Linked DNA regions of Bombyx mori. The protein of the gene in region 1 binds, or shares a complex with, the protein of each later gene. Links are inferred from orthologs where the notes say so. Each region holds a gene or a part of one and is shown on either strand. Other genes may lie near its edges. The genes, in order: UDP-N-acetylglucosamine--peptide N-acetylglucosaminyltransferase 110 kDa subunit, tab1 and KAT8 regulatory NSL complex subunit 2.

The links.
Region 2: the proteins of UDP-N-acetylglucosamine--peptide N-acetylglucosaminyltransferase 110 kDa subunit (region 1) and tab1 are in contact, whole or in part, in a crystal structure (PDB 4AY6), measured with the Homo sapiens proteins. The link is inferred for Bombyx mori from reciprocal best matches to the Homo sapiens genes OGT and TAB1. Residues at the interface, in NP_858058.1 of Homo sapiens: Asp441, His506, His508, His509, Asn567, His568, Pro569, Gly641, Tyr642, Thr643, Lys644, Ala646, Gln849, Phe878, Pro904, Val905, Ala906, Pro907; in NP_006107.1 of Homo sapiens: Pro389, Val390, Val392, Pro393, Tyr394, Ser396, Ala397, Gln398, Ser399.
Region 3: UDP-N-acetylglucosamine--peptide N-acetylglucosaminyltransferase 110 kDa subunit (region 1) and KAT8 regulatory NSL complex subunit 2 share a complex: the UniProt entries of both Homo sapiens proteins name them as parts of the NSL complex. The link is inferred for Bombyx mori from reciprocal best matches to the Homo sapiens genes OGT and KANSL2.

What each region holds. Positions count from the first base shown.
Region 1 is NC_085129.1:5,325,557-5,336,370, reverse strand, and holds part of UDP-N-acetylglucosamine--peptide N-acetylglucosaminyltransferase 110 kDa subunit, read left to right. Parts: intron 1-4,271; coding exon 4,272-4,340; intron 4,341-5,731; coding exon 5,732-5,928; intron 5,929-6,011; coding exon 6,012-7,653; intron 7,654-7,922; coding exon 7,923-8,214; intron 8,215-8,619; coding exon 8,620-8,800; intron 8,801-9,272; coding exon 9,273-9,377; intron 9,378-10,624; coding exon 10,625-10,784; 3' UTR 10,785-10,814. UniProt on the Homo sapiens protein: Catalyzes the transfer of a single N-acetylglucosamine from UDP-GlcNAc to a serine or threonine residue in cytoplasmic and nuclear proteins resulting in their modification with a beta-linked N-acetylglucosamine (O-GlcNAc).
Region 2 is NC_085132.1:1,618,922-1,630,260, forward strand, and holds the start of tab1 (tak1), read right to left. Parts: upstream 6,725-11,339; 5' UTR 6,278-6,724; coding exon 6,141-6,277; intron 5,620-6,140; coding exon 5,488-5,619; intron 4,888-5,487; coding exon 4,782-4,887; intron 4,456-4,781; coding exon 4,344-4,455; intron 3,275-4,343; coding exon 3,131-3,274; intron 1,582-3,130; coding exon 1,425-1,581; intron 1,331-1,424; coding exon 832-1,330; 3' UTR 816-831; exon of another isoform or gene 101-815; 3' UTR 1-100. Other genes in the region: transcription factor BTF3 homolog 4, read right to left, coding at 11,082-11,339. UniProt on the Homo sapiens protein: Key adapter protein that plays an essential role in JNK and NF-kappa-B activation and proinflammatory cytokines production in response to stimulation with TLRs and cytokines.
Region 3 is NC_085108.1:5,585,605-5,596,418, reverse strand, and holds the start of KAT8 regulatory NSL complex subunit 2, read right to left. Parts: upstream 9,828-10,814; 5' UTR 9,713-9,827; intron 9,283-9,712; 5' UTR 9,215-9,282; coding exon 9,151-9,214; intron 7,458-9,150; coding exon 7,282-7,457; intron 6,528-7,281; coding exon 6,319-6,527; intron 5,371-6,318; coding exon 5,257-5,370; intron 4,800-5,256; coding exon 4,699-4,799; intron 3,273-4,698; coding exon 3,113-3,272; intron 1,256-3,112; coding exon 1,092-1,255; intron 1-1,091. Other genes in the region: cyclin-T, read left to right, coding at 10,075-10,223. UniProt on the Homo sapiens protein: Non-catalytic component of the NSL histone acetyltransferase complex, a multiprotein complex that mediates histone H4 acetylation at 'Lys-5'- and 'Lys-8' (H4K5ac and H4K8ac) at transcription start sites and promotes transcription initiation.

The DNA.
Region 1 (10,814 bases):
GTAAAAGTTTTTAAGGGATGATTCTAATCAGTATTATTTGTTTTCCATGTGGGCGGGCACATGCTGATATTAATTTTATTTCTTACTATCTGACCCGGCAGACTTCGTAGTGCCGCAATCAATAAATAAAAGACCTAAACTTTTGTATAAAATAAATTTAAAACAAACTAAAGTAATCCGACCGACGGGGGACACATCAAAGGGAAAATTACGACCATTTTCTTAATTATCTACCTTTTAAACCATCTCTGGACTTCCACAAATAATTCAAGACCAAAATTAGCCAAATCGGTCCAGCCGTTCTCGAGTTTTAGCGAGACTAACGAACAGCAATTCATTTTTATATATATTGATAACATGAGCTATACATAATGTCAAATGAATCATTTGTTATTTGTTTTCCTGATGGCTTGGAAAATTTCATACGATTTTTTTGTTAACATCGGTAATTATGTGGTTGCAGCTCATTGGATATCTCGTCATATCGATCGTCTACCATTGTGACATGAACTATTCAATTTCAAATAAGACAAAGTATTTTTGAATGAAATTAAATAAGTGAAACACACAACGCGTATTGTTTGCTTCGAAGTGAAAGGAGTATGCTCTAGTTTAGCTTAATCTAAGCATTTGTATTGTATTATGTATCCAGCAGGCAGTGGTAATTTTAAACCGTAATTCGTAAGATTCTAAAAAGGCGAGTAAGCCTTTTTGTAAATATAATTTAAATTTTATATTATTTTGGATATATTTACGTGTAGACCTTTAGTATTCGACAACTAGTATTCGTTGATTCATAGGAATAAGATACGAGCATTATTTAACTGTAGAATATAACGCGTATTGCACACTGATAAGAATAAATTAAAAACAATAATAAAATTGCAAAGGGTCAATAAGGGACAAGTAATTTTTCCTGAATATTCTTGTAAGACAACCACTTTATTCAAGAAAATGTAGACAGTTTATAAATGAAACGTTGATTAAAAGCTCAAGAAAAAAGTTTGCAGCGATGTATTAATTGACTTAACTACGTAGGAATATACATTCACATCCGCTGTTAAAAAGAAAACGATTGGTTGGAAATATACCTGAGTGTTGATCCCCAGTGAATCAGCTACCCCTGCAATGCATTCAATGCCTGCTACGTTACTATTATTACCATGTTTTTACGAAGCCGGTTTTTGAGAATAGATTTTGAACTCGATGGTACTTTTCAATTGACATATCCTCACCTGGCTTCTATTATAAATGGATAGTTTAAAAAACACGTTAAATTCGTACTAAATTTTCTTACTTCCTCACCCCAGTGCGAATGTCAATACTCACTCACTTTTAATGTCAATATAGTTCGTATCAACGTTCTTATGGAAATTAGAATATAACGTGACGTATATTCACAAGCGCTTGTTTGAGTAACATATTAGGATAATTACAAAAAAATGTTGATATGTTAACAACAAATTGTAATCTTCAATAAAAGCATTTAATAGGCGAGATTCTACTTTACTTTGATTTTATTTTACTTACTTAATTATATTGTATTGCCAAAACTTAATATTAAATGCAATATCAGTCTCTCATTGTTTTATGCACCAGAGTCAACGTACTAAAGTGAAAAAATAAAATATAAAATAATATGATTTTCTATGTTTAGTAATTCAAGGCGGTCGATGTAATTTCTGTTTTAATTGTATTTTACAACGGTCCCAAACTTCAAACGTCACCATAATTTTTTTTATCTTCCCAATTTGGCAGAATGGTCATGGCCTATCCTGTGTTCGGTTTTTTTTCCTACCTAAGCTGAGAGGGCTATGACAGCGTAGCCGAATGAGTGTGTTTGATGGTTAACGGAGCAAACGGATTTGAATGCTGCCATCTATCAACAAACATTAGATCGATTTGTTTTTTTTTCCTACCTTTACTGATAGCCTCGAGTGGCTATTTCAACTTCGGCCTAACGTGTAGGTGAGCTCACGTGGCTCAAATCGGAGTGTTGCTAACACTGGCCCTAGCAAGAGCAGTGCTTCGCAGAATCTACCACCGGATCGGAAACGCGACCCACTGAGAAGATTCGGCGAGAAACTCAGTGGGCTGTGTCTGTGGGTTAAATCGCTCGTCGAGCCCTTCGTCGCAAGCGACGGGTAAGATCGAAGGAAGTCTCATTTGTATTGTAATAACAGCTGTCGCGCCTTTTCTGACGAAAGTGAACACTCCTTCGGGGCGGAAACGGGCAGTATTGTATACCTCTCACCCTGAGTTCTAGTTCCAGTAAAAGTTATGTATTATTGAAATGAATACGAAGTCAGTACTTTATTTTAGGTTCTTAATTTTGTGACGTCATCATATCACCGAAAACTTTCGAGATGGCATGCATTCAAGTATTAAATCTTGGCAATTTTGTTTCTCCTAGACCAAAAAAGTTTTTTTATGTAAAGCTTTAATGATTAATTGTTATGATTGACGTAAATTATGAGGAAATGCATCGAAATAGCGTGTATTCATTTCGAATTAATAATTTGTCATTTGTCAATTTGTCTTTCTGTAAATACGCAAACGGCGACTTTACGCTTGTCAAAAAGAGATTAAGTAATGAGCTCGTGTAAAATACGTCTTATATAAACTGACGTGATCTTGTAACCTACACACGTACTATATATCTAACGCTTCGCTATACGATATATTTTAATCTTATTTGAACATACCTACACAGTAAAAAAATGATTTTATTGTAGAAAAAGCGTGGGGTGAATAAATAGAATTAATATTTTGATAATATCCTGAAAAGCACCTCACCCTTTTTTACAATAAAATAATGATTTCTTACACTATTTTTAATTCAAATTTACTTTCTATTTTTTAGTTAGATTTTCTAGAAAAGCGTATTTTGTTAGTTTTTTTTAAACTATTATTTATTTTTCATTTTTTACTTGAATTTAAATTTTTTCAAAATATTTTTTTTATTTTTTTTTAATATTGAATTTTCATCGCTCCTTAATAAGTATACCAAATTTCGAGTTAATGCGACGTTTTGAAGAGGGTCAAAATCATGTTCAAAGATTCCGTTACACACAAACATACATACATACATACGTCTGAAGCTAATAAAAGCGTATTAAAAACACTGAATTAAAACGTATGATTAAAATTATTTGAGCGAATTCGATTTAAAATCTTAAAATATTACGTTCACACGTCGATAAAGATAAGGCGATTGTGACCTTCACTGAATTATCATATACGGTGACATTAATTTCCTTGTTTCGCAAACGGCAATTTGTAATTTATTGTTTGTGTCATCGTATGCCTCGTAATATTCCACTGGATTCTTCCGTTAATCAAATAGAACTGTATAGCAAAGGGCCCATAGTAAATTGGGTTGACACATCTATCTATCTCTATATATAAAAATGAATTGCTGTTCGTTAGTCTCGCTAAAACTCGAGAACGGCTGGACCGATTTGGCTAATTTTGGTCTTGAATTATTTGTGGAAGTCCAGAGAAGGCTTAAAAGGTAGATAAATATGAAAATGCTCAGAATTGAATAAAAATAACAATTTTGTTTTTCCTTAGATGTGTCCCCCGTCCTTCCTTTTGTTTGTTTTAAGTTTATTTTATACAAAAGCTTGGGTCTTTTATTTATCAATTGAGGCACTACGAAGTCTGCCGGGTCAGCTAGTATCAAATAAAAATAATGCTTCAATCGTTGGACTTGGTTCTTTTTCTCTTTCGATTTTTTTGTCCTAGGTGAATAAGCATGCTCTCGGCTCAACTATTGTTAAACGTTTATTAGAGCCTACATTATTTTTGATAGAACAACAACAATACCAAGTCACCAGAATGATTTCGAAGGTTTCTAGTCATTACACATTTGACGGATTAATAATAAAAGAGATATCGATGTAGTCTTACGTAATAGGTTATCCAGTTTTAAATCAAAAGATACGGGTATATGATTTTGTAATTTTAGCATCCGTGCGTAGTTTTTGTTGTTTTTGTTATTGATAGGAGAATGAGCTTACGGTCCACACCTGGTGTTTATTGGTTACCGATAGTATATGAATGCCAACATTCATTTTGAGACATTAAAATTGAGCACATTAAAATCAGCTACTTTGTTAAGTAAGTTGTAAGTTGGATATTTGATTCCGAAATATCTGACAGTTTTATAATTAGTAATGAATATAACGCTTTAAAAGTTTTATAAACATACTAGACATATTGAAACGTATTTGTTTGTTTGATTTGGAGAAAGAATAATTTTGTTCCAGGATTTGTACTGCGTCAGAAGCGATTTGGGCAATTTGCTCAAAGCCCTCGGAAGACTAGACGAGGCAAAGGTAAATATAATTTTCTGCTTCACTGTTTGGTTCGCTCTAAAGTTAACAGGATTCTCTAGAACTTTCCTTTGTACGATATTAAATTAGCGCACTCTCGGCGAAGCGTAGTTTCTTCTTGCGTAAATCCTCTAGACATGGCAGTCGCGTAACGAAGTCCCCTTTGTGATGGTTCCAACAGTGTTTTCTCATCAAACGCCTTCACGAGTTTAAATTAAATTTTGTGTTTTATGAGCGACCTGTTCGAACCATTGCAGACCCGTTGAATGAGATGAAATCCTTATGAAGATTTAACTGAAAAATATCTCATACGATGCAGTCTTATAGAAGTCACAAAATATATTTGGCACGCCTTGTACAGATATTTTGTGATAGCATCTGCGTAAAATCATCAATCTTCTAGTCGACGAACGTTGCACGGTATTTAAGATTTGAAAAAAACTGAATGTCATGACCTTCGTGAATTTAATCTGATACTATCTATTGTAGTATAAAAATCCGTTCGACTAGAATATTGCGTAATCGGAGTTTGCGCTAATTGTAATTTTGTAATGTCGAACTTAAGTATAATTAATAAAGATCCTGTTGGCTTCATTGTTTTTATTTTATTTTAATGAAATGTGCTTTTATTATTTTACCATTTTCAAGGAGGATCAGAGAAGACAAGTAGCGTATCAGTAGTGATTTTATTTGTATGATTTGGTCATTCTCATCATGCCTGTCACAATACTCTGCTCGATGACAGCGCGAGTTCGTAATGATCCTATCCAATCATAAATATGTTTTGCGATAATCAGTTACATTGACAGAATCGGGTGAAAAAGTTTGACAAAGAAATCAACTAATTTCTATTATATTTTCACAAGGTGTTGTCTGGTAAGACAAGTGTAGGTGTGACCGGTGCTGTATGTAGCTGTGTAACGGTTGGTACGACTCTCGCTCTTCCGCCCCGATGACACCGTGACCACTGAAGGTAAAGTGGAAAAAGGTTTCAAAGAAATAATGTTACAACAGGTTATCGGATACGTTTTCATTTGATTATTGTCGTGTTCATCTTGTCCATCGGTTAGGAAGTGGAAGCGTTTGTCTTTTCGTTTTTTTTAACTGCTTTGGTTTTTCAGTGATTACAGACTTCATTTTTGTTGACGGTCGTTTGCATTTCCTACTACTGATGTGATGCTCTTGGCGTAGTGACTTGTTAGGATGCGATTTGGCGTAATTCTGGTTTTTATGTTGTACGTGAATGATGTTCGGTAATCTGAATTGAGTCGAACACCGGCATCGTTCAACGTTGTGTAGAGAAATGCTCTGGCGTAACGATATCTCGGTACTACATCACGCTAAAACACAAATCAAAGTTCAAAAGTTAAAGGTTATTTTTTTCGTGTGTTTAGGCTTGTTACTTGAAGGCAATCGAAACTAGACCCGATTTCGCGGTCGCCTGGAGCAACTTGGGTTGCGTTTTCAATGCGCAGAGTGAAATATGGTTGGCAATTCATCATTTCGAAAAAGCTGTCGCATTGGATCCCAATTTCTTAGACGCGTACATTAATTTAGGAAATGTACTAAAAGAAGCTAGAATTTTTGACAGGTACGTAACCATCATAAAATATGAAATATTTCGCTCTAATCTATTTTTGAATGTGTTTTAAATTAGTATCTCGTGATTATCAGGGCCGTCGCCGCATATTTGAGAGCCTTGAATTTATCTCCCAATAATGCCGTCGTGCACGGCAATTTGGCCTGCGTGTACTACGAACAAGGACTGATTGACTTGGCCATCGATACTTATCGACGTGCCATCGAATTACAACAGAACTTCCCGGACGCGTATTGCAATTTAGCTAATGCACTCAAAGAAAAGGGACAAGTGACTGATGCTGAAGAGTGTTATAATACCGCGTTACGTCTCTGTCCGTCTCATGCAGACTCCCTCAACAATCTGGCTAATATAAAACGGGAACAAGGCTACATCGAGGAGGCTACACGTTTATATTTAAAAGCATTAGAAGTGTTCCCGGAGTTTGCGGCGGCGCATAGTAATCTGGCTTCAGTGTTGCAACAACAAGGGAAACTAAACGAAGCCCTTATGCATTACAAGGAAGCTATACGTATTCAGCCGACCTTTGCCGATGCGTATAGCAACATGGGCAATACGCTGAAGGAAATGCAAGATGTAGCCGGTGCTCTGCAATGCTACACAAGGGCGATTCAAATTAATCCCGCATTTGCGGATGCTCATAGCAATTTGGCCAGCATCCACAAAGATTCTGGTAACATTCCTGAAGCTATACAGTCGTACAGAACAGCGCTTAAGCTTAAACCAGACTTCCCAGATGCGTATTGCAATTTAGCCCACTGTTTACAAATAGTGTGTGACTGGACGGATTATGAGGCTCGAATGAAAAAATTGGTCAGCATTGTCGCTGAGCAGCTGGAGAAAAACAGACTGCCATCAGTACATCCGCACCACTCCATGTTGTATCCGCTGACACATGACTTTAGGAAGGCCATCGCCGCCCGTCACGCGAACCTTTGCTTGGAGAAAGTGCAAGTGTTGCACAAAAACCCTTACAAGTTCCCTAGAGATTTACAAGGCCGCCTTCGTATCGGGTACGTAAGCAGCGATTTCGGTAACCATCCGACATCGCATTTGATGCAATCGGTACCTGGTTTGCATGACCGAACAAAAGTGGAAATATTCTGCTATGCCCTCAGTCCGGACGACGGAACAACGTTCCGATCGAAAATCGCCAGGGAAGCGGAGCATTTTATCGATCTATCTCAGATGCCTTGTAACGGCAAAGCAGCCGATAAAATATACGGAGACGGTATTCATATCTTGGTCAATATGAATGGATACACTAAAGGAGCGCGAAATGAAATTTTCGCTTTGAGACCAGCCCCGGTCCAGGTAATGTGGCTCGGGTACCCGGGAACTAGCGGGGCTAGTTACATGGACTATTTAGTTACTGATGCAGTGACGTCACCCGTGGAACTTGCCAGCCAATATAGCGAAAAACTAGCGTACATGCCACACACGTATTTTGTTGGCGATCACAAGCAAATGTTCCCACATTTACAAGAACGTCTGATTCTGAGCGACAAAGTTAAATCCCACAACAATTTGGGAAGTGTCGCGGACAATGTTGCTGTGATTAACGCGACCGATCTGTCGCCCCTTGTGGAAAATACTGACATTAAAGAAATAAAAGAGATCGTGCGAGCAGCCAGACCCGTTGAAATATCTTTGAAAGTAGCCGAATTGCCAACGACGACACCCATTGAAACTATGATTGCATCAGGACAAGTACAGGTAACTTTTTAATATTATCGAGTCTTTTAAATTAAAAGAAGTAAACCGGCAAAAGCAGACCTGATAAATTACGACGTTATTTTTTAATGTGGGGTTGTGCATGTCCATTCAATGCAATTGCTGTCTAACATAAAAATAAAAGTTGATAATTTCCGTTCGTAATTTCTGAGCAGATTTCCATTTTTTTAAATTGGCTTTGTTTCCATTTTTTTTATTATGGTTTGAAAAAAATTATGCAAATATGTAACTTTTGTTTCCACAATTTTCAGACATCCGTAAATGGCGTTATTCTTCAAAATGGCTTAGCTACTACGCAGACGAACAACAAGGCTGCGACGGGCGAGGAAGTACCACAATCTATAGTGATTACAACTCGACAACAATACGGCTTACCGGATGACGCCGTAGTGTACTGCAACTTCAACCAATTGTATAAGATTGACCCATTAACTCTACACATGTGGGTGTACATACTGAAACATGTACCTAACAGTGTATTATGGTTATTAAGATTCCCGGCCGTAGGAGAACCCAATTTACAATCCACTGCCAACCAACTTGGTGAGTATTCTATTCGTGATATAATTTGTGCAAACAGTCATACATTTTAGAACTATTACTTCTAAAACGAAGATGGTGAATATACTAAGTATTGCTATTATTGCCTCGAAAGATAGATTTTGTAAAGATTAATTTCGAACTGTTCTTCCAATCAGTAAATTAACTAGTATCAGCCTGCGATTGAACATCAATCAATTCGGAAAAATCATTTATACTGAAATGTTTATGTTTTAAAGACCCTAAACTTTTTGTAAAAATATCTGCTGGCATTCCAGCAGTTTCTAAATAATTAACTTTAACAAACTTGTTTGCAACTGCCTTCTCAGTTGCACTTATAGTAGTCCAATTAATTCAACTTTTAAGGTGTTTTTTATTTTAATCTTATTGCATATATTTTTACTAAAGGTCTTCCGCCGGGACGGATAATATTCTCAAATGTTGCTGCCAAAGAAGAGCACGTACGACGCGGACAGTTAGCCGATGTGTGTCTCGACACTCCACTTTGTAATGGACACACAACTAGTATGGACATCCTATGGACTGGCACACCGGTTGTGACCCTTCCTGGGGAGACTTTGGCGTCTCGGTGAGTTCTTTTTGGAAGAAACGATTTATCAGTTATGTGTTTTTGGATATGAAAATAAGCTTGTATTTGTTGCTGTACCATGTTGTGTGTAACAAACTATTTGTCAATCCATCAATTTGGAATTAACTGCCTTATAGATATTTATATAGTATAATTAAAACACAATACTATATGTTAATAATTAAAACACAATACTTTTTAATTTTAAAATCTCTCTGACTCTTCTATTATTTTTATATACTATTTATTATACTTTTGGTTTTTCACAATAAATAATGAGCCAATATATGACATGACTGTCAAAAGGGTTTAAAATGTTTCCTCAACAGCGTACAGTGCTTTGACTGTGTTCCCGACATTACTGATGTCCATGACTAATAATTGCTTGGAATTACCAAAAATGGAATAAAAAAGTCCTTATAAAATAAATTATGTATTTCTTTTGACCAAGATATAAATAATTAATTTACAGAGTGGCAGCTTCTCAATTAAATACTTTAGGATGTCCCGAGCTCATTGCCAGAACGAGACAAGAATACCAAGACATAGCTGTAAGACTGGGAACAGATAGAGAATAGTAAGTTGACATTAATTTAATTTATTAGTAATTACTTTACAGGGCAGACGATTTTACGGCCTATCTGGTATTAAGTGCTTTGTAATGCATATAATGACACTTGCCTCTTGAAGGATCCGTTATGATTGAGATTTCAGATTAGTAAGAAAATGATATTACTAAACTCTATCTTAGAGTTTGGCCAATGATACTAATATTTAAGGAAACCTGATAACAGTAGCAACTTAGGAAGGTCAGGATGACATACCCATTGTTTACTTAATGATAGGACCAAAAAATCCTTGAATTTATTGTTACTTATTAATAGAAGTACATGTTGCATTATTCATAGTTGTATGTTGTTGTTGAGCAACAAAAAAAGTTTTATTAAAAAATATTTGTATCTTAAAATAATCTTGTCTCTGAAATGCAAAACAAAAATATTATAAAAGTAATTTATTCTTCTCATTGACTTCATTATTTGAATATCAGCAGTTTATCATTTAATATGTTTATAGATAAATTTTTAAGAATTATTTGTTTGATAAAGAATACTGGGGGGTCACCCAGAGGTCGAAATTCGATCATAATTAATTTAAATTATAAGTTTGAACATTATTATGGTTCGATTGTCATAATTCTGTAATCATAATTTATCCAAGGCTACACGATAGATAAATAATTTTATAGACAAACATTATGTAATCTATTCTTAATTTGACCACAGGCTATCAAAAATAAACAAAAGAGTATAAATGCGTGTGTATGTCAAATACATGGTAGTGTGTGTAATTTTTTGTATTGATGTAATTTAATTTTTAAAAATAATTTAAAGAAAAAATTACCTTTTTGCACTCCTCTATATTCTCTTCAAGTGAAAAATTTAATATCTCTCTGTCCTCGCAATTTTCGTAAAAAGTTGTACAAAGTTTTTGCTTCCTATATCTATACTCTACACTAATATATAAATCTACAGTGGTTTTTACTGATGTTCCCTTATAACTAGTTACTGAACTATGCATCCGATTGACTTGAAACTTGGTATCCATGTAGAAAATACATGAACTTAATGGATAGGCTAATATTTATATGAGTGTTGGACTCCCTACACCAGTTGCGGGGGCGTTATTGATGAGAAACTTTGTGGAGTTGAGAAATAATCATGTTAATTTTAAATGGCTAATATAGCTGTAGATATTAAAGTTAAATTCATTTTGAAATTTCTTATTATTGATCTCATTTTAAAAGCTTTTTTTTTTTCGTTACAGCCTAAAAGCGATCAGAGCAAAGGTGTGGACAGCTCGCACTGACAGTCCTCTTTTCGACTGCAAGGCGTACGCCACCGGACTTGAGATGCTGTACAACAGGATGTGGTCGAGGCACGCGCGAGGCGATCGCCCTGATCATATACAGGCCCTCGAGAAATAAGTGAATACAATAAAGTTATGTGAAGACCAT
Region 2 (11,339 bases), on another chromosome or scaffold:
CAGTCAACACCCTGTCACCGAGGTATATACAGTCATGAACTGAATACTTAATAAGGTCCATAGACCACTTGCAAGACTCTGGCTGTGGTGATTGGACATTCTTGAACAACAATAAATATATTTACAATTTGTTGTATTTTTATGTTGTGTATATGATTATATATGTATGTGAATATACGAGTATATTATAGTGAATATATATAGATATATGTGTAAACTTTATAATATTATTATCATGATATAATATTGTGTACATTGTTGTGTGTTATTTTCGCAATAAGTAATGCACCTACCACAGGACTACACCACCCTTGGTTGACTGATAGAGAATGCCTCAGGTATTAAGTCCAACATTGCACCTTTGTGCATGGAGTTTAATAAATAAATAAATTAGAAACTAGCAAAGAAACATCCCGAGATCCGTCTGAAGATCGATTCGAGCATCCGTCTATAGCTCTTTATTAGTTAACACTAAACATACCATAACAGGTCAAATGATCCATTTTGAACTCTTGCATTGAAAATGCACGTGTCGTCTTATTGCTTTTGCACATTTGACGTCACGAATTTTTCTTACCAATTACTCTACAGTTATTATACTTTTTTTTTTGTTTGTTTTGTTTATTTTGAGAAATACTTTTTTTCTTTGCGGGATTCGAACACCGATGCATCGCTTCAACACGAATGCACCGGACGTCTTATCCTTTAGGCCACTACGACTTCACATACTTGTCGCATCTACCCTTTATGGTAGAAATAGATACCAGTAAGTGTTGGTATGATTAGTGTTTAAGTACAAAAAACAGGTTATTTACCCTGAGTAGGGGGTGCTCACTGGATGAAGTCTGGCAGGGTGCCGCCGCGACGCGCCCTTTCCACGTTCTCGTAGTAACACGCGAAGTCAACGTAGCCCTTGATGCGCACGTGCTTGTCGTACTGGCGGCCCGGGCACGTGTCGACCGGGGACTCCGGCGAGCTGGACTCCATCTCATCTAAGAGCGTGCTGGACTTGGACTGCACGACCGGGTTGAAGCGCACCGAGGCGCTCCTGGGAGGCCCGGGCTCCGCCCCCGCGGCCGCAATAAAGTTAAAGTTCCTTATGAGCAGCGTGACGTGAGTGTTCGATTTGGGCGTCAAGTTGTTCTTGACGCAGTGGGATATGAACTCCTCCTCGATCTCGTGCAGGACCGTTTCGCTGACGGCCTTGAAGTCTGTCTGCTTTCTGAAGTGCTCAACGATCATCTGGGCGAGCTGTTTGTTCGTTTGTTCGCTGCTGCCCCTCGACTCCTGTATGCGTTTGTAAACGCCCGCGCTTACTAGGATCAGAAATCTGAAATGTTTTTTTTTTTTTTAAATTAATTTCATACATTACTGAATAATATTTTCGTACTAACCTGCAATATTGAATATATTTTCGTACTAACCTACAGCTGTCGTCCAGGACGATGGGTCCGTGTATCTCCGGGGAGGCCACCACGGGCTCGGACGAGGCCGGGCTGATGCTGGGAAACGCTTTGTACAGGCCCTTGACTAAATAATTCCCCAGACATCTGGTCCCGGTTTGGTTGCCGAGGTATTGCGCTGAAGAAACGTACATAATCACTTTAATAACACCCTTTATGCAATAAACTTACTGATGGTAGGACCTCTTGTGAGTCCGCGCGGATGGGTACCACCACCCTGCCTATTTCTGCCGTGAAGCAGTAATGCGTTTCGGTTTGAAGGGTGGGGCAGCCGTTGTAACTATACTTGAGACCTTAGAACTTATATCTCAAGGTGTGTGGCGCATTTACGTTCTGGATGTCTATGGGCTCCAGTAACCACTAAACACCAAGTGCGCTGTGAGCTCGTCCACACATCTAATCAATAAAAATAAAAAAAACATTGTGGTTTTCTTCATTTTTCATCCTTAAATCAGATTGCTCTCATTTTTTTCTTTTTCCTTACCTAAGCTGATAGCCTTGAGAGGCTATATCAGCGTAACCTTAACTAGTAGGTGAGCTCACGGGGCTCAAACTGAGGTGAGCTCACGGGGCTCAAACTGGAGTGTTGCTAAGACTGACCCTAGCAAGAGCAGTGCTGCGTAGAATCTACCACCGGATCTGAAACGCGACCCACTGAGGAGATTCGGCGAAAAACTCAGTGGGCTGTGTCTGTGGGTTAATTCGCTCATCGAGCCCTTCGTCGCAAGTGACGGGTTCGACGAGAGGGTTAATTCGAGGAGGATTCGAAATGACGTGTTTAGGGCGATCATCATTGGGCGTCACTTCGGTTTGAGCACCGTGAGCTCACCTACTAGCTAAGGTCGCGCTGAAATAGCCTCTCAAGGCTATCAGCTTAGGTAGAAAAAAAAGACGAATTCACTCTCGCTCTATCTCTTTCTATTCCTATACTATATGCTATTATATTATAGCGTAGTCTGAAAGCGACTATAATCATTCATGGGTTCGGGTTTGAAGTGCGACACAGTCGTTATACAATACATTTAGAACCTACACTGCCTGTCTCAAGACCGGTAGTGTTCTGCAAGTGGTGATGTCCACGGACCTCTTAGTAAGCAATCTAATTCCCAAGTAAACAGTAAGACCTTTAGTTCAATAACCACTACAACTGATAACATAAAAAACATGTACATAAAAAATTGTATACAGTAATTCCCCTTTACAACACGGTGGTCTTATAACGCGTTTTCATATTACGCGATTTCAGTATCTCGTTTAACACGGGTATTCCCCCATATAACGCGGGGAGTTTAAATGTTATATTTATGTACTGTGAGATTTATAATGATTCGTACAATTCATAAATAATTTCGTGTACTTTTGCACATTGTGTTAATAGTGTTGTTATAAAATTAAATTAAATTTATTTATTTAATATGTGTTCCTTAGTTTTGCATTATAAAAACATTGGTTATATTGGATTTAATTTTGTACATAACGCGTTATATAAGGTCATACCATACAAGCGCGTTATACGGGAATTCACCTACAACGTGATTCCTATAACGCGGAACCAATATACCGTGTTATAGGGGGGATCACGGTATATTGTATAAAATGGGTGGAGGTTCAAGTTGCCTAGACAACAAATGACCTAAAATAAGGTATTTGAGAAAAAAAAAACTCACCATTCCTCAGTTTATTAACGTCTAAGCCTAGCTGAGACAGTCTGAGCAGCTCGTCTTCGTTGTTGAGACTGTGGTCAACGGTCAGCTGCACGACCCGTAATACCGAGTTATCATCCGTACGACATAGCAGAGCTCTACTTTCACCTATAAAATTAAATTGTTCAATTTTTTTTTTTGTGTTAGTAACTACAATGGTTCTTGTAAGATAAGATCCCTTCCAGCCCCGTGCCAAAATGGATAAAATTACGATCATCTATTTGCAAATAACTGCCCGTTTATTGTATTGTATCTGAATAATATCAACTAGTAAGGTGTGTAGATGAATAGAAAAAATTAGATGTATTTATAATGTTAGAGGGTCGACTGCTTTAGCTATTCTAAGTGACATATTATATAAGAGCACACTAGAGATAGGACCCGTAAAGAGTTTGAATCATTCTGAACAATATGATACAAAACAAACTATTTAGGGCGAAGCAAAGTATGCAACACTATTTTGCATATGTTACAAGTTTAAGTAGATGATGACCGAGCTTTGCTTGGCCTTTTTTTTTTATAACGCCATCTTGTTGTGTCTTTAAAGCAGTATTATAATAGTAATAGTATTATTATTCGCCAATAGATGTCGAGAAGAGTCATAAATTAAAGTTGATTATTGAAAACACGAACAAAACAACATTTTCTGAAAATAAATCGTAGCTGGATCGATTTATCGCCCCCGAAATCCCCTGTATACTAAATTTTATGAAAATTGTTGGAGCCGTTTCCGAGATTCAGATTATATACATATATATTAATATACAAGAATTGCTCGTTTAAAGGTATAAGATAGTAAGAGCGTCCTTGTGAGGTAGTAAATGGTTTGATTATGGAATTTAATATTTGCTAATAATTTTTTATGAGAGAAGATAGCAATAGTCTAGAATAATAGATAGAAGTAATAGATAGTGGTAATAATCTGTGCATTTATTCATCCTTGGTTGGTAATACAACAAGACTCCCAACTCATGTCTCAGTGGGATACATAGCCCACCTGGTGGTAAGTGGTTACTGGAGCCCATAGAAATCTACAACGCAAATGCACCACCCACATTCAGATATAAGTTCTAAGGTCCTCAGTATAGTTACAACAGTCAGTATGGTTCACATGATTTTATAGAATCTCGGAGCCACATAACAATATTACTACTGAATTTAATAAGAAAACACTCACCAACATTAGCAACAAATAGTTTATTTTTGTGCACTAAAGCTACGACCACAGTAGCACCTCCGGACAGATGCTGGTCTATTTCTTTTAAGCGAGACAATATAATTTGGCGATTCTGAAATTTAAATTAAAGCACTTGGATAAAAATCCTCTGACACTAAAACATAAACATCCACATTCTAGCATATAATATTTTAATTTAAGGTTATTAATAACGATAATAATTGTATTTATATATGTCGACTTTTGTCCTAAATATTTTTATATTTTTTTAATATTACCGTACATTTGAACAATGGCAGTGTGAAAATGAAGTAAAAGTATACCTTGTATTTTATGATTAATATACCTTAAATGTTGTTATATAAAAGAATAATCGAAACTGCCAGTACATTCTAATCTTTTGTATATACAAAACAAAGAAGAAATCAAAATGAGTACCTGAGTCTCACTAGAAGTCTGCAGCTGATATTGCAAACTAGTTCTCTCTGCTATCATTCCATCATAGTTTTCAATGTATGCTTTCTCAACTGACACAAAGGCATTCCTATATATAAAACGAATTAATATTAATATCTCGACCCATGTTCCATCTTTTATACCATCTACGCTCTATTTGCTCAGCGTGTATTTTATTTGCAAAATCTTCCATATATATATAAAAATGAATTGCTGTTTTTTTTTATTGCTTAGATGGGTGGATGAGCTCACAGCCCACCTGGTCTTAAGTGGTTACTGGGGCCCATGGACATTCATAAGGTAAATGGCCCACCCACCTAAAATGCTGTTCATTGCTGACCGATTTGGCTAATTTTGGTCTTGAATTATTGGTGGAAGTCCAGAGAAGGTTTAAATAGAAGATATATATCATGAAAATGCTCGGAATTAAATAAAAATGACAATTTTGTTTTTCCTTTGATGTGTCCCCTCCCCTGTTGAACAGATTCCTTTTGTTTGTTTTAAGTTTATTTTATACAAAACTTTAGGTCTTTTATTTATCGATTGAGGCACTACGAAGTCTGCGGGGTCAGCTAGTAATTGATATTTTATCCTATTTGTATAAAGTATATTTCATAATCCAAAGCAACAATAGTATCTCTCTTATACACCCTTATTTATTTATGATAAATATATATATAGTTTTTACCTAAGTCTGTCTCGTATCTCTTCATCTGTGTTGGCTGAGGGTGGTGGAAATAATATTTCAGCTGCCATTCTTTGCATGATAAGCCTGGCCGCTTCAAGACCATTGTGTGGCTCAAATACTCCATATAAACAACTATGAGAATAACATTTAGTTTAGTTATAAGTTTGTATTTGTATTAAGAAGCGAATTTTGGTGTAATTTATATTTTTTTTCTATATTAAGGTAAACTTAAATGCAAACTTATTTTTAATGCTCTTCATTTATTTAAATAAAGAAATTAAGGATAATATCAACTGCTAAATCTTTTAAGAGTATTTGTAATATCATTTATTCACTATGCAGATGCAAGATGCTTTTTGCAGAAACAGCAATACAAAACAGGGTTGAGGACTTGCAACATTTTGACTTGAGAAAGTTGATATTAAAAGCTCTTGTTTATTTACAAAACTTTAATAATAATTGATGAACTTCGGAATTTAACTACGTATTTCTAAATTTAAATGACCGGGTTTTTTCTTCACCTATAGTTACATTTGCCGTCATGAATTCTATCTTGGACACAATGAAGACAGAGACAAATTTAATGTATTTTTTTAACCCTATACTATTGTGACATGGTTAGATATACAAAAGTTATGATAAATTAAACTTACAAGTTATCCTCTGTTTGACAGAAAAAACATAAATAATCATCGTTAGCATTTGAGTGTCCTCCGAGCTTTGAAAAATACGAAGCTACACACGTATTCCTGCACTTCGGAAGATCGTCAGTCCACGGTCTTGCTATCATATTGCTATTTTTACCACTAACACCTCAATTCACAGCTCAAATATTACTTTTATTTTTTATTTCATGAAACAGACCTTTTGTTGAAAAATGACCAAAATTTCTTAATATAGAGCTAAGACCAAGTTGAGACTTGATCATCTTAAATCATCAAAACGATTTTTTAGTTTTAGAGAATGCTAAATTTTGAATCGGTTCTTAATATTGTCACTTTATCATTTTACTTTCATTTTTACACTAGTTGTACGGCAAAGTTAAATAAATGAAAGTACCTAACATATTAGACATAAAGGTTCAGCTAATATTTACAAAATATTTATTATATTTTCTTCGCAAAAGTAAAACTGAATCGAATGACAGGAATCGAATCGATTCCCAAAAACTGAAGGTTCGTAAACTCAACAACCCTTCTGTCGCCCCTTCTGTGCAGTTTCTATTTTTATTTTAATGACACTTATTTTTTTCGTTCAAAAATTTAAAGTACAATTCTAGAGTTCAGAAGTTTTCCTAACACTATTGAAATTTAATAAAAATAGTCGTTAACTATCGTTTGACTATAACTTAAATTCTTATTTTTGCCACAACATAGAAATTAGATGTAAGAAAATCTTTTTTCTATATTTTACCACTTAGTGTTCGTTTGTTCACTTAACTAACGTCCAGCCCAGTTTTTGTTTTTTTTTACTCATCAAACATACGGTACATTTGAGATAGTACAGTACTAATAGAAAACTGGCATGTCAAACCGTATTTGAAGGCAAGTCCCACGCCTTGGTTAGTGATAATAAGAAAGGACAAAGTAAATATTAAGGGACTGTAATGAGACCATTAACTCTGAACGTCAGCTAATTTTTTATCCATTAAGGCTGATAATGCATAGTATTTTTTTCGTGTTGATGATGCCTTCATTTAATTTTTAAGCCACGATGATTTCATAGTTAGTAATTAATCATCAAGACAGAGCGATGAGACCGGTGTTCGAATCCCACAGGCAGGTACCAATTTTTCTAATAAAATATCTTATCGTATCACACGAAATGTCCATGTAAGACGGTGTAAGATGGTTCCACGGTGACGGAATAACATCGTGCAATAAAACTAAAAATCCGTAAAAATTATGATTTACGTAATTTCTAGGACGTATGTTCGCATAACCCTGCCCGTGTCGGCGGTGTATCGCGTTCCTGCAGGCCGGATCTGACCCAGCGAGGTCCTGGTCGTAGTATTGACCGCGAGAGTCCCCCTAGTTTGACCGAGTTCTGACCCCGGGCGGAAATCGGACGTCGGGTGTGAGAGTGCAAGGGGAGTCGTTTGGTGTAGTAGAGTCCTAGATATATCCTTGAGCCCGCAGCCTGCCTCCAACATCTGCAGACCATCAATTCTCATATACCCCGCGTGCTCCATAGCCGCGGATACCTCATAGGAGGCTCGGCCGTCGTACTGTTAAAGTTGAAACTTGTTAAGAGCTCCGCCCGGCTCTGTGTGCTTAGTGCGAGTTTTATAACGTTCTCGATAGCGTAAAAGTTAGCTCATATTTGTATAGAATGGGATCGTTTGCCTACGTTTGCCGCTAGGGGCACTGTTCCAACTGCATACAGAATTGAGTTCACTTTTACGCTGTCGAGAACGTTAAAAAACTCGCACTAAGCAAACTGGTGACTTCTTATCACGAGGCGGGCCGTGAGCTTATCTACCTATCCTATCAATAAAAAAAATACTTATATTATAGCAGGATTCCTGTCGAAATCTCATTATTGTTTTCGTCTTAAAAATCAGTCCTACGAATATTACTTCGGAACCAAAAATGATTTAGCAGTTCTTTCTTATGTCCCTCGGAAATAGGCCTGCATAATTTCAAAAATATTTTCTGTTCACATATTTTTATCGATACGACGTGGATGATTAAAATGAATACTAACCAACAACACAATCAGGCCACCCACTCATAGGCAACCGCAAAAATCAAATAAATTCATTAAATATTGAAACATTACTCTTTATATACCTACATAACTTACTTATTATTACGTACAATTTATTTGATGCCTAATTATTCACACTAAAGATTTATAAATTGTAATTTGTAATATAAATGTTAAGGAGTATATATTTTTCCTAATGAATTGCACAGAGGGGTTTAAATCTTTCTATCATAATAATAACATATTTATACTTCGACTCCAAAGGACCGCAAAAGTAAAATATAAAAGTACCTATTCTATACTATTCTATACAAAAAAGAACAGAAACCTTAAAAAAGATGCAACGAAAGTGAAAGATAATTCAGTTTTTTCTGAGTTCACAGAAATAGTGCCTCATAATAATGTTGGAGATTCAGTAAGCTCGGTAGGTAGGTACCTAAGTACTTTGAGTAGTAAAGATGAAGTCATCTTGTTACTCAATCAGTAGGCGTTTTTCTATTGCTTAAATAAACCTATGCCTACTAAACTATTTTAATGTCGAAACTCGCGGTTTTTTATTGCGAAATAGACACGTTTAATTTATAAGGTCATGCTACTATTGTCATGAATATGTATAAAGAAATTTAGCCTTTACACGATTACAATAAAGAATTGAATCGTTCGTTCTCAAATTAGCAATGGTTGACAAAAAAAGCGTGTGCAATTCACACGTGGTAGAAGTGAAACCTTCAAAAATGTTGGCTTCAAGATGACGAATGTTAAATTTTGGGAAGAGGATAATAATAATTATAGGTTTTAGTTATAATGATCAAAGTGATACAAAGTTTGAAAATTATGTTACATTTTATTCGTGTTGATTTACATAGATTTATTCAGAATGTTTTATGTACGAATATTAGGTACTAAGTAGTGTAAGTTCCAAGAGAACCACGAATATAAGAACCATTATATAATGCTTCCCATCTCATTTTCTCCCACGTTAAATTTTATAAATTTATGTGTCGTCTCTTTTTTATCGCTTAGATGGGTGGACGAGGTCACAGCCCACCCGGTCCGTGGTTACTGGAGCCCATAGACAAGTACAACGTAAATGCGCCACCCACCTTGAGTTATGAGTTCTAAGGTCTCAAGTATAGTTACGACGGCTGCCCCACCATTCAAAACGAAACGCATTACTGCTTCACGGCAAAAATAGACAGAGTGGTGGTACCTACCCGTGCGGACTCATTAGAGGTCTTACCATCAGTAATTACGCAAATTATAATTTTGCGTTTTTTATTTTTATAACACGATGTTATCCCTTCACCGTGGAAATCAATCGTGAACATTCGTTGAGTGCGTATTTGTCTCTAAGCAATACAATTTTTTAACAAGATAGTGCTCATGAATCTATCACCGCTGAAATGAATACCGCATTCACTGTACCTACCTATGTAGCAGAAACTATGTCTGGGAACGTGGATCAGTGGTTGTAGGTAATATACCTCCTTTAAGTCAGCTCCGGTGGCGTGCTGCGTGATGTTGAGTATAAAAGAAACAGCATCAATTGTAATGAGTATAATTACACCATTTTAAATGCAGGTTTGTCCTTCGAAACAAACATATACTAGATTTAAACTTTATAGGCCATTTAATAATTAGTAAATAAGGTAGTTTAGAAAATATTTTAGAATACAGGTTTAAAGAAAGTGGCTCTGTGAAAGCACTCTCAGGCAAAATAATTCATTTAATAATAGATTCATAAACTAAAATTTGATTTCTGTAATCTACCTTCAGACATGTAATTAAACATTACAATCCATTCCAATTTTATTTACTGGTGGTAAAACCTCTTGTGAGTCCGCACGGGTAGGTATCACCGCCCCGCCTATTTCTGCCGTGAAGCAGTAATGCGTTTCGGTTTGAAGGGTGGGACAGCCGTTGTGACTATACTGAGACCTTAGAACTATATCTCAAGATGTGTAGCGCATTTACGTTGTAGATGTCTATGGGTTCCAGTAACCACTTAACACCAGGTGGCCTGTGAGCTCGTCCACTCATCTAAACTTTAAAAAAATAAAATAAAATAATTAAAATTAACACGAGTCATTGATTAAGCAGTTTATATTTTCAGATCGGGTAGAGTGCAAGGATATTGTGGCTTGGCTGGGCACTGACAGTGCCGATGTTGAAAAACATAGACAAAAGAGCTATTTGATTACTTTTAAAGGCCAAAATAATTTAAAATTGCTATTAAATACCATCATAAACAATTTATAATCAAATAAAACTCAAACATCCGACCAAAGTTTTATTGTTTAGATAACCTTAAATCTTCAATCATTTACATTTTTTTGCTATTTTTTATATATTTTTTTACAATAATTTTAGCTCATCATCTTGAGCTACCTGTGACTAATTTTATAAACCTATGTTTTTTCAACTGATAAAAAACTTGTAAGCAAAATTGGACATGACTAACAATTTTTTCTAGAAAATACTTTACATTTTCAAAAAATGCCTCCTTTATCTTAATACATTCATACCCTTAACTGTTTAATGTCAATTTTAAAACATTTTGTATTAATTTCTCAACAGTAGGTTTATAACACTTATCTAATGCCTATTTGAGAATCAATATTCCACAATGCTGAAAAGGTTGATGATCTATCAAAAACAATTGCATTTGAATGGGGCTGCACGGTTTCCAGAGCCATCACTTAGAATTAAAAATTTAGTGTCCCCGTACATCACATCACTCTTTCCAAACAAATGCAATACATGATGAAGTTCATACACCCAGGAACGTAATGAAATAAAAGTGAAAATCATTCTTTTGAGACACAGATGGCTTCGGAAACCCTTGACATGTAGGTGAGCAAATTAAAACTATACTTGTGGTTAATTTAATCAGTTTTCTTGTCAGCTTTGGTTTCTGATTCGGGTTTCTTTTCTTTCTCCTTCTCCTTCTCGTTAGTTACAACCTCCTTGGCCTCTTGTTTTGAGGCTTCGTCAAAGTTGCCGACGAGGTTAGGTACCTCGTCGTCTTCCTCGAGTGGCTTAGGCGCGGCAACACTCGACGCAATCCTTTTCAGTCGGTTCAAGCCGTCGGGTCCGAGCTGGCTGAGGATACCCGGGAGCATCTCTGTGGTCTGCTTATTCTC
Region 3 (10,814 bases), on another chromosome or scaffold:
CAATTTTTTTATTATTATTATGCATTAATAATATATTAAGTCAATAAAAAAAACTTTACACATACTACCATGTATTTAACACACACTTTAGTTAATGCTTAAAGTCTGTGGTCAAATTGAAAATAAGTTAATACTGTTTATCTTTAATATTATTTGTCTACAGTGTAGTCTTGGCGAAATCTGTGATTATAGAATATATCTTTGACAATAGAACCATAATAATGTTCCAACTTATAATTTCAATGAATAATAGTCGAATTTCGACTACTGCGGGACCACTAGTATGTAGTAAGTGTGCCGGCTGAAGTTAACTTATCATGCATGTGTAGTATTGTGTAAGGTTGCAATGTATCAAGCCAGTATGAAGTCAGGACAGTTGCACATAACTCGTCAACTGATACAGTCGAATTATATATTCTATAAAAACCTCGTAAATCAGTGTAGATCAAGTGTATAATGTGTGTAGAATCTATATATATCTATATATTAATACGTGAAGCAAAAACTTTGTATCCTTTTTTACGAAATTTGCGCGGACGGAGGAGTATGAAATTTTCCACACTTATAGAGAACATAGAGAAGAAGTGCACAATGCTAATATTTTTTTAAAATAATGCGTAAAAGATACATTAAATCAATAAAGAAAACATTACACACACTACATACCATGTATTTGACGCACACACGCATGCATACTATTTATTGTCAAACTTTTGTCATTTGTTGTCAAATTCAGATTAAATATTGTTTGTCTTTGTTAATATTTTTTATAGTGTAGTCTTGGCGAAATTTGTGATTATAGAAGTATAAAATTAATTTAAGTATAGTCGAATTTCGACTACTGCGGGACCTCTAGTAAAAATGAATTGCTGTTCGTTAGTCTCGCTAGAACTCGAGAACGGCTGGACCGATTTGGCCAATTTCATCATGTATGTAATTACATCTTGTATGAAGGAAGGTGGTGGCATTTAGGTTGATTCCTGTGACTTGGCCGGCCTGTGCCAGAGAGAGAGAGAGGGAAGGTATGCAAGAGTAGGACATGAGTTGACGTGTGATTGGCCCCAATAGAAAAAATATAGTGTATAGCTTACAGTAGTGTTCCTTCTCAGCCTTGAGAGCCTTCACGTATTTAGCCCGGGACATCTGTAGCAGCACCCGGAGACGCCCCATTTGATTGACGTACGCCATTTGCAATAGTTTTAGTGCATTTCTCGCTTCACTTACAGTTTCTTCGGCGGTGTACACACCGGCACGCCTGAAATTTTTTATATATCGAAACATTAAATTTTATTATTGATAGCTGAGTCCCGCGACGTTACCCGCGGTTATTGTAGTACCGCGGGTGACGCCGCGGGGCGAAGCTAGTCTAAAAAAAGTAGCCAAGTTACTCCTTATATCATCGGCTACCTGTCAGTGAAAGTCCCGTCAAAATCGGTCCAGCCGTTCCAGAGATTAGCCGGAACAAACAGACAGACAGACAAAAATTGTCAAAATTCATATTCATATCAATTTTATTTATATGTATAGATGTATAGATTAAAGCAGATATCAATTTTGTAATTGCATACTGATACACTAAGCAGCATATGTATATATGAGTTGACTATTATCAAAGCCGGCAATCTGACTTTTGGATAATTATTGGTAAATCAGAAAAACGAATTATTGACTTTGTATTCCATTGGCAGTCACAAAACTCTTCGGAACGACATCTTAGATAAATAACAGGTTAACTATTAACCTTTATTTAATGCAGGTTTTGAACCGTATTCTTTGAAGGAGACGATTATATTCAAATCAATCTGTATTGACATATCAATAACATTTTTTTGTCCAAATGCACAGATTGCCACCTTTGATAATAGACGACTCATATATAGTCACTTGCGACGAAGGGCTCGACGAGTAAATGAACCCTCAGACACAGCTCACTGAGTTTCTCGCCGGATCTTCTCAGTGGGTCGCGTTTCCGATCCGGTGGTAGATTCTGCAAAGCACGGCTCTTGCTAGGGTTCGTGTTAGCAACGTCGTCAGGTTTGAGCCCCGTGAGCTAGAGAGTTAAGGTTACGCTGAAATAGCCTCTCAAGACTATCAGCTATGGTAGGAAAAAAAATCTACCATTGAAGTCAATAAAAATAATAACCATGTGGCGGGTAGCCATCATACAACGCAAGATAATTGACAGATGCCTGAATCTCGCTTACGACATTTTCAAGATAAAGCGCATATATACAAGTTTCGAACAACAACATTCGGACCGTCGGTCTACCGAACAATATCACCCGCTCGGTGAAAGATCTTCCATTTGTCGTCAAGCCTCGCAAAACCAGTTAATCTATAATCTAAAAAAAAGGCCCAAGTAACTAACTGTAAGGGCATTGACCTCATGTATCAGCTGATTAAAACTTTCAATATAAGTGACTTTTTGGCGAGAACGCGAGGAGTGAAGTTGTGTGATTTGTTTTACTTTGTCTATTTAGTGTTTCTTCGGGTTTAAATGTGTAATGACGGTGGTTTATTAACTATTTAGTGTCTGTGAAAGTGCACAAATGTGGGAAAATGAAACAAAGCCGCTGAACGTAACTTCTCGGGATCCTCCAAAAAGTCCACTGAGAAAATCTCAATAAATGACCACCATTTTACTGAGATTATGTTTCACCTCATATCATCTCATCTCACTACATTTAATTTCATCCCAGTTGATTAATGTCTCACATTAATCATCTTCATTTCATTTCACTCCATTTTATTATTTTTCATAAATATAAGAATATAAATTAAAATAAGACATGACCGAAAAGTCTTAGTTAACAGGTCATAAAATCCCTTAAAAAATATAATTAAAAGTAAATTTATTTTTCTATTTTGTGTCAAGAACCAGGCTTGAGTTTTAAAATCGATTCCCTTACATCAGTAATTTTTTTTTATTTTTTGTTATTGCTTATATGATTGGACGAGCTCACAGCCCACCTGGTGTTAAGTGGTTACCGGAGCCCATAGTCATCTACAAAGTAAATGCGCCACCCACCTTCAGATATAAGTTCCAAGATCTCAGTACAACCCGCCTTTCAAACCGAAATGCATTGCTGCCATTCTTAAAACGATCACTTACCATAATGGTAGCTCTTCAACAGGTGCGAGTTCATCGTCCCCCGAGCTACATTCCCCGTTTTCCCCCAGCTTGACACTGTCACCGTCACTGTCAGAGGCACTGCAGTACTCTTGTATGGACGCTGAGTACGATGCATTCACCGACCTCGCGTCTATTTGTTCTGTAATTAAATTAACTAATTAATGAAAACCAGAAGGAAACTAGTTTGTGGGTTATCTACACTTGCAATGTAGTTAAAAGTATTATCTATATATTAATACGCGAAGCAAAAACTTTGTATCCCTTTTTACGAAAATTGCGCGGACGGAGGAGTATGAAATTTTCCACACTTATAGAGAATATAGAGAAGTGCACAATGCTATAATTTTTTTAAAAAAATGCATAAAAGATACATTAAATCAATAAAGAAAACAATACACACACAGTACATACCATGTATTTGACGCACACGCGCATGCATACTATTTATTGTCAAACTTTTGTTCGTGACGTCTGTTGTCAAATTGAGAATAGATTAAATATTGTTTGTCTTTGTTAATATTTTTATAGTGTAGTCTTGGCTAAATTTGTGATTATAGAAGTATAAAATACAATCATAATAGTGTACAAACTTACAATTCCAATTAATTATAGTCGAATTTCGACTACTGCGGGACTTCTAGTTCATTATTATTGACCATCAAGACATGTACAATCAATTGTCTGGTTTAATCTGGTCAATTTCAGTTTTGTGTTACTTTCCAGTTTTCGTGGGCACGGATGAGTAGAAATGAATATGGGCATTATTAAAGTACATCCAGGACTCGAGAAACCCAAGGAATATATTCGAGGTATAGACTTTTTTAACATGGCGGACCATGAACAGTGCGTGAGACCTTATAACACCTTATCTAAGATAAATAACATACAGTCACATTATATTTAAATGAGTTTTAACAGTTCTTATACTTGTACATAAGCGGCTTATTATAACAAGTTTTTTTTTATGATTGAAAGTGGCCTGGAGGCCTTTCCAGTTTCACCAGGACAGGTGGACGAGCAAAGGCTCAGCCAGGAGGGATGGGATTTGCTAACAGCTGCCCGAGCGCCTCCGAAGGAGTCCTGACAACTCAAGAGCAGCTGCTTCGCGCATGAATCTACTACCGGATCGGAATCGCGAGCCGCTGAGAAGATCCGGCGAGAAACTCAGCGAGCTGATGGTTAGGTAAGGTTGCACGTCGACGTCTTTATCGAGTTCGACGAGTACGGTTACCGGGGTCCCTAAGCCTGCTCCTAGTGTTAGAGCTGAAGGCATCAATATAATAAGTCTGTATGGTTGGTACCATTGTTCCAGTACTGCTACCGTGTAATAAGAGCTTTATAATGGAAAACGCATTCAAGGGTGCGAAAGCCAGAACTCTAATGACGACATAATAGCAGATGGATCGAGGACTTATTTAACTGAATTTAGAGGATAAGTAATTATAGTTTAAAAAAATATTTACTTCGCAGTGGTCCTGGTTAGGATATTGGGCCAAAATAATAAAACCATACTATATAACCAAATTACATAGGAATCAAATAATATTTTAAAATAATTTACTCACTGAATGGATCTAGTACTGTCGGAGAAGACTGTTCTGGTTCCGATGGGTCGCTTACAACGGACACTGAAGACGCACATGACGTCGTGCGGGGCCTCTCTGCTCTGGAAATTTATTTTAAAACATTCATATTAATATAGAAGTATTCGTTATTTTGTTTGGCAACAATGGGGCAATGGTAATGGGAACAAATTGTATCGCTCGAACATAATTTTTGTGTAATCAGCTGATACAAGCTTTTAATACATTTGTGAGCATTATGTATATCATTCAATAAATTATCTGCAATATGACTGGAGTCAGTAAATAATTATGATGATAAAATATGCAAACTTGTCAATGAGTATGGTGATTGGTGTTTGGAGAGCATTGCGTTTTGCTCCACTTTGCAATGCCCCACACACTATAACCTGATTGGTTTTTAGAACAGAACAGCTACAGATTCCTCCAGAATTCCACTTGGCTGTGTCACTTATTGTAGCCATAGACAACATGACCGGCAATTTTCCTTGGGTTATCTGACAGTCATTTACTTAGTCCGTACTACAGATGTGTACTAACTGTATGTAGTGGCTGAGCTGGTGGAGCAGCGTCTCGGTGGTGGGGAGGGGCGGAGGGGGCGCGGCCTGGCGCTGGCGGAGGGCGAGGGCGGCGCGGGCGTGCTCGAAACACAACCTGGAAACGTCATGGAATTCACCATCAAGAATTATATCTATACTAATATTATAAAGAGGAAAGATTTGTTTGTTTGTATTGAATAGGCTCCGAAAAACCACTGAACCGATTTGAAAAATTCTTTCACTGTTTGGAAGCTACGCTACTCCCGAGTGATATAGGCTATAATCTTTTTTGAAAAAAATTAGGGATCCTTACTAAAACTCCAATAATGTAACCCAAGGTGTAAAAAAAATACCTAAAATATTCTTTACATCGAGTGCCCTGCGAAAACTATTGATGATAGAATAAAATAATGTACTACGACTTTGTAGAACACATTAGTAAGTATAAAAAGTGTCGCGACAGCATATGTCAAACTATTATAGTTATGCCGCAATAAATGTTCTTTTATTTTAAAAAATAAAACAACCTCAAATATTGTATTTTTGTGAAAGATCCGAGCGGAGCCTGAGCGGGCCGCTAGTTTTCAAATATATTTGTTTGTTTATTGACTAGCGTTTTATCTTATTTGATTATATTCATCATCACAGGCATAATAACTATGAGCAATTTTATAATATGAGATATAACTCGTGTTTATGGAACACGGTTCACTGATGGTAGGACCTCTTGTGAGTCCGCACGGGTAGGTACCACCACCCCGCCTGTTTTTGCCGTGAAGCAGTAATGCGTTTCGGTTTGAAGGGTAGGGTAACCGTTGTAACTATACTTGAGATCTTAGAACTCAAATCTCAAGGTAGGTGGCGACTTTTACGTTATAGATGTCTATGGGCTTCGGTAACCACTTAACACCAGGTGGGCTATGCGCTCGTCCATCCATTAAAGCAATAACAAAAAAAAACATAGGTGACTAATTATAATTTAAAAAGTTAACATTGAGGATATCCGACCTTCAATATCCTGACTAGGGGGTCGCGAGATAGACAAAAAAATCTAAAAGCTAACCCAGGGTCCCGGGGATCATTAGTGTCCATGGGTGCCGGCAACGTACACCTCTCCCCGTTGGCATAGTTGTGCACGCACTGCCTGTAGGGGGCGGTCGGGTCGCGGAGCACATGTCTGTAGCAGTACTGCCGACCAGACAGCACGGGCTGCAAGCATTCGTAGCCCTTGTACGCGCACGAGCGACACCGCGAGGCGATCTCCTTTTGGACCTGAAAATGTTTTTTTTTTTCATTAGCCACATCATCAGAGGAGTATTGAATCGGTGTACTGGGTGTGTGAATTAGAGATGAAACGGATAGTGGTTTGGCCGGATACCGAATATTCGGCAAGCTGCGAGGCCGGAGCGCCGGATATTCGGTTACCGGATACTCGGCCCTTTCGGAAATATTCGTGCGCGTTCGGGTGTTGGCCCACGTAAGCGGAGATCCTGACGACTCGGTACGACACGATTTGGTATTCATTCACCACAATTTACCACTTGTTATTTTGAGTAGGTATTAAACAAATTAATTGATAAAACAATCACTTTTGACGTGCGATTATAAAAATAAAAGTTGTCCATAGCCTATTGTGGTATTATTTGCCTTTTGTATAACATTGAGATTTTTTTTAATTTTACCATCCGAAATCCGGCCAGATACTGATGTACGTCTGAGAACGTAGCTGCATATTCACACTAGAGATGAAACGGATATCCGGTAACTATCCGGTATCCGGCCGGATAGTGAAAACATGGCCGGATAGGCCAGATACCGGATAGTTACCGGATATCCGTTTCATCTCTAGTGTGAATATGCAGCTACGTTCTCAGACGTGAGTCAAAATGTAGATTAGAATATTATTTTTTTTCCCTACCTATACTGATAGCCTTGAGAGGCTATCTCAGCTTCATCCTAGCGTGTAGGTGAGCTTTCGGCGCTCAAACCGAAGATTAGAATAGTGAAATAATTTATTATTATATACCTGAGCCCTCAGTTTCTCCTCTTCCTGTTTCTTCACGTGTTCCGGGTCTGGAGGCTTTATAGTCCTCACATTTGTTATCCGGATACCGGATTTTGTTGGTCCCCCACTACTGAGCATCCTGACTTTGGGCAGGTGAATTAATTTACGAGGTTGTGACGTCATAACGGACGAGGAAACTGAAATTTCAAATAAAAAATGACGTTAAAATTTGATCGGTACATGTGACATAATGCCATCAGATTTTAATCGCTTAGTAATAATAAACTATTAATATGTAGCAACGGTTGAGTTTGCAATCGTGTTCATAAAATATGTATAAATTCAACAATTGAAATTATCGAAGGTAAGACCCATTGTAGGTCTCACAAGTATCGTATCGATAAAGAATGCTATTATTCCAGATGGGGGAGTAAATTCACCTGTACACCTGGTGCAACCTGGTTTGTCAGTGCCCATAGACATTTGGGGGTTAACGACAAAGGGGGATCTTCCACCGAGCTGGTGTAGCTGCTCAGTAGACCGACGGTCCTAACTTACCTTAAAATTATTGTTAGCGATATTCGGGCATCTGTCAAATATCTTTTGTTCTATGGCCACTACTGCCGTTACAACATGAATGCCGCCGCATACCACTATCTTAATATCGCCAAAAAATTGTCATGGGGTTAGAATTTTTTTTTTAACCGAAGAAGCCTATCTTGTTTGATTCCTACTTCTTTATTTCGTTACTGAGGTTATTTACTGCTCGTAGTTTTAGAGAACCGATAACCGTTGGAGCCAAGCTCCATGCTCCAAGCTGCATGGAGTGACGATCTATGCAGGATGGCTGGCAAGAGCTGGATGAGATAAGCCGAGGATCGTGCTCAATGGCGTGCAATTCGAGATACCAAAGTCCAGCAATGGACTGCTATAGGCTGATAATACGATGATACGTTGATCTTAACGAAAAGAACTTATCAATAACTTGAAATGACCAGACGGCAGTTCTTTTTTTTATAGTTTAGACGGGTGGACCGCCATCTGGTGTTAAGTGGTTACCGGAGCCCATATACATCTACAACGTAAATGCCGCTACCCACCTTGAGATATGACTTCAAAGGTCTCAGTATAGTACAACGGCTGCCCCACCCTTCAAACCGAAACGCATTACTGCTTCACGGCAGAAATAGGCAAGGTGGTGGTACCTACCCGTGCGGACTCACAAGAGGTCCTACCACCATTAATCACGCAAATTAAATTATGCAATACTTAATGCTATGAAATACGTACTTAATACGGCCCTGAGTTTGTTAAATTTTTGTACTATCCCGCATGTACGTATCGCCAAATTAATACTGTTTTTGTTACGTCTTGTTACAATTATTACATAAGTTTGCATATTTTTTTTTGTTGATAAACAAGTCGTCCTAATTGTTAATGAAACGGGTACCGGAAGGAGCCCAGTATATTTTTAACCTACAATAATGTTGATTTACAAAGGAAAAATTCGTAATCACGTAAATAGCAGTGGACAGATTTAGATGATAATTCGTACAAAAATGTTTTTTTTTTATAATCTAGATTTTTAGGAGGGTACCTGCGAAACATGAAAATTTGGATCCCGTGAAATTGGTGCTTAATATTTTATTGTCACAATTTTATTAATGACGTAATCGCAGTGTAAGTCTAAGAAATGATATTAAAAAAATTAACTCCGACAGCCTATACAACTACTGACTTGACTACGATATACTATTTTATACAAAAAATTCTCGTGTTCTAATGAAATGATGTTTATATTTTTTTATAAATCTACATGTTTAATGAACTAAGTAATGAATTGGTTTGTTTGTTTAAATTAGCGCATTTGATTTTTTATTTTTTACTTACGTTCAGAAATCTTGATATTATGAGCGTTCAAGGTGTTTGCATACTCTCTTCCGAATGGAAACATTTTTTTGCTATAATAGCAGCCTGTAATACGTACTTTCTAATGTTTTCTTTAAAAATCATATGAAACCTCTGTAAAAGTTGCGTAATCATCTTAAATTAGAATATTTTAATTACGATTGTTTGTTCGTAGTTATCCACGTAGCGCGAAACTTCGTTCACTAAAGTTAGGTCAGATGTGATTCTTAATAAAAATAAACTAGTTTGCAACAATTTGAAAAAAGTAATGACTAAAACTAATCGTGTTATAAAATAATTTCACTAATTATGAAATGACCGATAATAGTTTAAGTCATCAGGCATTTTAACTCGAATTTAATAGTGAGGTGAATTGTAAACAGTTGTGGGTCGGCCATTTGCACAGTGCGACAGAGTTTTAGGTCCGTAAATTTGAAGTTGATTTTTTTCATTGAAAAGTTAGCAATGCGTTTTAAAAATATGTACAAAAGAAAGAGCTATTCTTATTCTATTAAAAGAAACATAGTGATAAAGTGAAACGTACCTGTGTTTTTTGCAGATCATCAATCTGTCACCGGAGACCTCACTGCGTTAACTACCAAGTTTTACAATGGCGTCAGCTTGAAATTCCTAATCAGAATATCGTGTTGTGATGTATTTTTTTTAAGTAGTTTTCTTGTTGTTTTGTTATTCCATTAATTTTAATATTTTTTTAGTTCATTAATGGTGAATGAAAACAGTGTTTTCTGATAAAATGTTAGGATTTTAATTTATCAATCACTCAAATGTTAACGTGGTCTTTATCCGGTTGCCGCTGTGCTAGCGCTGTCCCTTTCCCACTCACGCACTTAGACGGGGCACTTCTATCCGTCGTGCTTTCTCGCGCGCAGTCCGAACATCCGTTCAATGGCTGGTGGGCAAGAAAAATGGTATTTTACAAAAGAACAGCTACAGAATTCACCAAGCAGAAAATGCGGTTTAGATGCAGATAAAGAGTTAGCTTATCGGCAGCAGGCCGCGAATCTAATACAGGATATGGGACAGAGGCTTCAAGTGTATCCTTTTCGAAAAAGTGTTCGATTACGACCCAATGTTTTTGTCGAGTCATGTGTTTAAAATGTGTATTTTAGTGCTTTGTTGAGTGTTTTCATTAATTAAAATGTCCTCTAATATCGGTAATCAACATTTGTGAAGCGTCAGAATGTGCAGTGATCATGTACAAGAGTTAGAAAAAGTGACGAAATGTCGTGTACATAACGGCGTCATTCACACACTTTCCCTTGCTGGTCTGGGATTTCCCGTGAGTAAAACCATAATATCTAAACTGAAGGATACGCCTATGATTGCGTATTAACGTGAAAATGCCCATAAGTGTTTGTATTTAGGTTAGGGTCACGTATGAAGCGTGGTTTTTTTCGAGGTCAGTGTTCGACAGCTGTCGGGACGCCTGCGCGGTTGACGTAGGACCTGTGTGATCGACCTGTCTGCCCGCTCTAAATTTACCCGCGTACCGGGATAAATAACCTTTCGTGTTTCTTGGAACTTCTCAACGATTCACTTCCGAGCTTATCATGTTTTCCTGGTACTCGTGTAGTTAAACGAGATAAAATATGTATTACTTTTGAAGCACGCGTGACGTACGTGTT